Rattus norvegicus: one gene and its partner. The protein of the gene in region 2 purifies or fractionates together with the protein of the main gene of each other region. This does not show direct contact. Links are inferred from orthologs where the notes say so. Each region holds a gene or a part of one and is shown on either strand. Other genes may lie near its edges.

Evidence for each region.
Region 1: the proteins of Ptpn21 (region 2) and Trip6 purify together in Homo sapiens (affinity purification with mass spectrometry; 3 studies listed by BioGRID and IntAct, with this or other methods). This does not show direct contact. The link is inferred for Rattus norvegicus from reciprocal best matches to the Homo sapiens genes PTPN21 and TRIP6.

The regions. Positions count from the first base shown.
Region 1 is NC_086030.1:25,025,728-25,027,988, forward strand, and holds the end of Trip6 (thyroid receptor-interacting protein 6), read left to right. Parts: intron 1-700; coding exon 701-879; intron 880-1,129; coding exon 1,130-1,250; intron 1,251-1,371; coding exon 1,372-1,503; 3' UTR 1,504-1,639; downstream 1,640-2,261. UniProt on the Homo sapiens protein: Relays signals from the cell surface to the nucleus to weaken adherens junction and promote actin cytoskeleton reorganization and cell invasiveness. Involved in lysophosphatidic acid-induced cell adhesion and migration.
Region 2 is NC_086024.1:123,724,992-123,728,744, forward strand, and holds the start of Ptpn21 (tyrosine-protein phosphatase non-receptor type 21), read right to left. Parts: upstream 2,819-3,753; 5' UTR 2,724-2,818; intron 1-2,723.

The DNA of each region.
Region 1 (2,261 bases), on a different chromosome or scaffold from region 2:
CTGAAACTCTTAGGTATTTATAGCTAAGGAAGACCTTGGGTATGGGGATTCCAGGTGTGGGCCACCAGATCTGTTCTTTGTGGTGTTAGGAATGGAACCCAGGGCTCTTGCATGCCGGACAAACACTTTACCAACTGAGCTACAACCCCAGATTAAGGAATGAGTTAAATGTGGACACGAGCTGAAGGAGAGGAGGAACAGCTCGTGCTGTCTAAGTGGGTGGCCACCTTCCTTCCTTCCCTCCTTCCCTCCTTCCCTCTTTCCCTCCTTCCTCCCCTCTTTTCCTCCACCTCTCCTTCCCTTTCTCCCTCCTTCCTTCTTTCCTTCCTTTGAGACCGAGTCTCACTACGTAGCCTAGGCTGGTCCTGAAGTTACAGTCTTCCTGCCTCGGCTTCCGAGAGCTGAGAAACCAGATGTGTGCCCAGCTAGAAGGCATTTTAGAGTTGAGGTAATTTGTAAAAGCCTCACAGCATTCCTCAGAGGCAAGCACTACTGACTCATCTCACTGAAAGAGGAAGTGTGCGGAGACCAGATTCCTTGTCTAGAGGCTTCAGTGCCCGTATGAAACCTCAGAAATGCTAAGTCCACCTTCCACTGAATGCTCTGCGGGGAACTACACACACCACGTGGTTGGGCAGAGAGTACGCCTTCCTGGCTGGAGTGGCTTTTCCCCCTGACCTTCCTTCCTCTTTCCTATTAGGCCACACTGGAGAAATGTTCCACATGCTCTGAACCCATCCTGGACCGAATCCTGAGGGCTATGGGGAAGGCTTACCATCCTGGTTGCTTCACCTGTGTGGTGTGCCACCGTGGCCTCGATGGCATCCCTTTCACAGTGGATGCCACCAGCCAGATCCACTGCATTGAAGATTTCCACAGGTCTCAGAATGCCTGCTCTGACCTATCTCTTCATGTCCCAGGGTCTGCCTCTTCTTTTTCTATCTTTTCATTCTCTTTTTTTTTTTTGACATTACTTTCTTCCCCAAGACCGAAACACATCTCTTAGATCCTTCTCTCACACACCCTCCTACCCCCCAGCCCCTTCCACTCTTATTGGGCTCCATTATGAGCCTCTTGAGGGGTTGGGAGGGAGGGATCTGACAGCCTCTTTGGTTCCCCTCCCCTGCAGGAAATTTGCCCCACGGTGCTCAGTGTGTGGTGGGGCCATCATGCCAGAGCCAGGTCAGGAGGAGACAGTGAGAATTGTTGCTCTGGATAGAAGTTTCCACATTGGCTGCTACAAGTGTGAGGTGAAGAGGTCACCGGGCAAGAGCAAGAGCTTTGCAGAGCCTGGGAGGCTGGGAGAAAAGCACGGTGGGAAAAGTCACAGAAGAGCTCTCAGACTAATAGAGGTTTTGTTTCTCCTCACAGGAGTGTGGGCTGCTGCTGTCCTCTGAGGGAGAGTGTCAAGGCTGCTACCCGCTGGATGGGCATATCTTGTGCAAGGCTTGTAGTGCCTGGCGCATTCAAGAGCTCTCAGCCACCGTCACCACCGACTGTTGACTGCTCTAAGAAGGACCTGCTGGGATCTCAGTCCCCCTCTGTTACCTCCCCTGACATCTACCCTTAGTGTTTGCACCAAATGCTGTCTCTTCTTCCTCCCTTCATGCAATAATAATCAGTGGAGTGTTTAAAAGCTCTTGCAAGTCTGTTCTTTCATTAGAGTCTCATAGGATGAGGCTGGGTAAACCTCGAACCCCAGCACTCAAGAGGCAGGGACAGACTCTGTGAGTTTGGGGCTAGCCTGGTCTACATACTAAGTTCCAGAACAGCCAGGGCTACGTAACAAGACCCTGCATATATTTTGTTAACTCTCATCCTGTACTTTTTTGTTGTTACGTAAATTAAATGAACCCATTTATAGTAGGCTAGGGATGTCTCAAACGGTTGGATCTCTACTGGTCTTTCAATTCCTTCAAACTTCTGCTGGCAGATACAACAGAGGAAGTGGTGTTGGCAGGTCCAGGCCCCACCAGCCACTGTTCTCATGTAGAAACCACAGTGCCGGATGCCAGTGGCCTGTTCTTTTCATCTTGCCATCGCTCCAGAAGGAGCAGATGATCCTGATGTGCTCATCGATTTCAATGTTCTGTGCCATTTTCCAGAGGGAGGCATCGGAGCAGGTCCTCTGTTTACTGATGATGCTGACCTGCTTGGTACATGTAGCCACAATGCTGTGACGTAGGCCAAAGCCAGAAGATAGTTTTATAAAGGACAAATTGTAAAATATCCCAGGCTACCCTTGGATTTGAAATAGAGCT
Region 2 (3,753 bases):
CGTTGGTCCTACAGGCAGGGAGAGATTGGGCGCGCATTTTGAGGCCGTATCCACATAACAGCACCCCCCCCCCAAAACACACTACTTTTTTTGTTGTTGTTGTTCTTTTTTTCGGAGCTGGGGACCGAACCCAGGGCCTTGCGCTTCCTAGGCAAGCGCTCTACCACTGAGCTAAATCCCCAACCCCAACACACTACTTTTTAACCATGCTTGTTGATAGTAACTTCTGCGGTGAATGAACTGGGGACGAACAACAACTCGGGATGTATGTCAACTAAAAATATTTTCCCCTTAACAATTTGACAAAAATCTCAGCTATTTCCATCCCTCACATTGCCACCATTCTCACCTCTGCCCCTTCCTCCGTGGATAAATCTTTAGCTGGGCTGGATCCTAGCCGATTACCTATTTGGGTGCGAGACTGCGTGATGGGACAATCCGTCCCTAAGCCTCACAGGACAAACCGAACGCAGGCCTCAACCGAAACAGCTTTCTTGGTTTCACACTAATAAGGACCTAACTATTTTGTATCTCCCTGGCTTTCTCTATCAGTCCCAGTATTCCTTTCTGTCCTGCTCACAGTCTGAGACTCAACCACAGAGGTCATGGGCACCCGGCTTGTGGAATGGCTGAGCTAGAAAATGAGGTTTAGTTATGACCCTAGACTGCCAAACTTAACGTCTTGGGATTCCATTCCACAAATGTACTCTGCCTCTCTGAGCACAAGGCTGTAATGAGCATCTTAGGAAATCTAAGACGAACCCTAAGCCGTCTCTGTCGTTAAGGAGATTGCAGGCATCTATAATTATATTCAGAGCTGTATCACTAATAGGGACATGGTCAAGGTTCCTAAAATTTTTGTTTTGCTTTTTTGGAGCTCTCTAGTGAGAGCTCCCCCTCTCTTTCCAGAAAGACAAGTTTAAAAAACTCGGGGATGAAGAAGGCCAGGGCGAGCAAAAGGGGAAGCCTATAGCACTATGTTAGTAATTGCTGGATGCCTTACTTGGTTAAAAGCCCTATTCCATAGAAGGAATTGGAGGTGTGGGGATGGGGTGGGAGTGTACTATAATAAAATAGAGTCTGTCGCAATATTTTTCAATATTCTTTGCTGTTTCTAGAGTATAAACAATGGAGCAAAACTGAAAAAAAAATCAAGAAAATGAAAATACTTTTAAAAACTTCAACAAGCTTTTAACCATAAGATACACTAATAGTGCTTCCCTAGACCTAAACAACAACGAAAGTGTAGAATACCAAGTATTGTCTCATAAGCCTGTAGGTTTCAGACTTCAAACCGTGGCAACTGAAACAGCAAGGTATATTTAAAAAGTTCTGCATGTCCAAAGGGAAGACATCTGATTTATATACTGTCAAATGTGTTAATTTCTTCACTATAAAGATGGAATTATGCCTTCAACACAGTATACTATACTATATAACTTAATTATTAACCTAAGTTCTGATTAGGCAAACTCAAAATTCCAGTTGTTGCTGAGATTTGGAATGTTTTACAGCATTGGGGAGGAGGAAAAACCAATGTTTTCTCTTTTTTATTTTGGCAACTGTTATAATTTGATTGTTATATTTGCATGCATTTTTCTCCTAAGAATGTCTGGTTTCTTGATTATTCGTATAAAGCCGACTGTGGCAATGCTTGATTAATATATATCTCAATGATGCCATAAATTATGTTTGCATATTACAGCCAAGAGGTAGAAATTTAAAATACTCTGGCGAGGATAGATTTAGGTGCCAACAAGTAAATGAAATGGAGTATTAAGAGCCTTTAAAAAGAAAAAAAGGGAACAATTTCTCTACAAAACCGTTCCATTATAGAATAAGGAAAGATACATATTAAATTCTGCTTCACAAGTTTACAAAAGGTGGTCTGCACTGTTATCGAGTCCATTTTTCTTAGCCATATTCCCTTCCAAAGATTTCCAACGTTTACCTTAACGCTGAGTCTCACCAGATACCACACTCAAGTCACTCACCACTTGTTCATGGAACACCGCACTATTCCTTTAACACTAAATAATCAATAAAAACAAAGTGTCTGACATTTTTAGAACGTCTATATCTTAGTGCCTTAAATCAATCCTATGTCTCTCGCAGAACATTTGTACATTGATAATCTATAATTAAATGGCCTACAAACAAAACAACTATTTTCAGTGTTAAACTGTTGTCTTGCTCAAAACTAAAAAAGAAAGAAAAAGGAAAACATCGGCTAGTAACTATTACACATACTGCAGTGGTACACTGGAGCTCATAAAGATTCAGAACGTGTTTTCTAACATTCTCTATTATCGTAAGGCTTTCTTGGCCGCGGGGGCTGGGGATAGGACAAGCATGCTCAGAGCAGCCAATCTAAACAGGGTTTGCAGAAATCACAAGTTGGAATTTGCAGATCCAAGAATTCTTCCTCCAGGAGTAAAGACGCCCTGCTCCAAAACCGAAACAAGGAGTTGCCAAACAGATCTTCGGTTTTTGTCCCTTGTTGCCAAAGTTATACAGCAACCTTCATACTCCACATATTCCGAGAGGCACAAATATGCCCAAGATTTCAAACCATGATCCAGAATTAAGCCGCAGCCATCCGCGGAGGAGTCCGGAATAGAAGTTCCAGACTCTTTTTAGAAATGACTAGGAGATCAGAGCAAGCCTGGCAAGGGAAGACTTTGCTCTTTGTTACGCCCCTGCTCCAGTCCCCCGCGCCTCACCTGCTCGGGCTCCCGCCTGGTCGGGGCCGCGCTCCGGCTCTGCGTCCCGCCTCCCTGGGTTCCGCGCGGCCGCCGCGGCCGCTAGCGCTCGCCCGCTCGTGTCCCGGACCCGCGCGCCGACCGCACGCTTTGCCCACACCAGCCGGGCGGCGACAGCACTCGCTGGGGGAGCTCGGGGGCCGGGGCCGGAGCTGCGGGGCCCGCGTCCCTCCCCTTGGGCCGGGCGCGCGGATCCGGGGAGGCGGCGGCGCGTGACCTCAGAGAGTTGGAATGCGGGCGGCAGGGCGCGGGGGAGGCCGGACAGCTGCGGCCGGCCGCCGGGGAGGGGGCGCGCCGCTGCTGTTTTTAACCGTGTGACCAGTTATTTTAAGTTTCCAAATAAAGCAGAGCTTTGAAGAAAAGAAAAAAAAATGAGGTGAAGGGGAGGTTATTTTGAGTCCAGGTAGAAAGGGTCGGTTGCATTATTAGGTGGTGGTCTGTCAAGTAACTGGGTTACTGGAGTACTCTTGTACACTGCTGGAGATCATTCAAAACTTTCTGCACCCCACCCCACCCCCTTCCAGTGCCTGCTCCTCTGTAGGAACTCTAAACTTAAAGAGAGGTGGGAAGCTGACCCAAATGGGGAGTGGGCTGGAGGTGCTGCTCCCCAGAATCCACTCTATAGGGATCTAGATCTCCCCTAAATGTCTGATAGCTCAGCTTTACCTTGGGGAACCACCCGGAAGGACTACTGCCAAGAGGTAACCATGCAAGTAGCGCTGAGAGAACTGAGGAGCTGCCCCACCAGGACTCCAGAGGATTAAGACCTCCTCGGGAACATGGTCCCCCAAGGAGAGCTGTAAGCATACTCAGTGCAGAATAGAGCTATTGAGGATGGAGGCTCTGGAGTCAGATTGTTGAGATTCAAACCCCAGCTCCAACTCTTACTGGCACATTCCTAGCCTCTGTGTGCTTGGGTCCTCTCCTATAAGCTGGGAATGAGGATCACTATCCAGTAAACGTGAGTAAAATATATGTGAAGCGTTTCCTC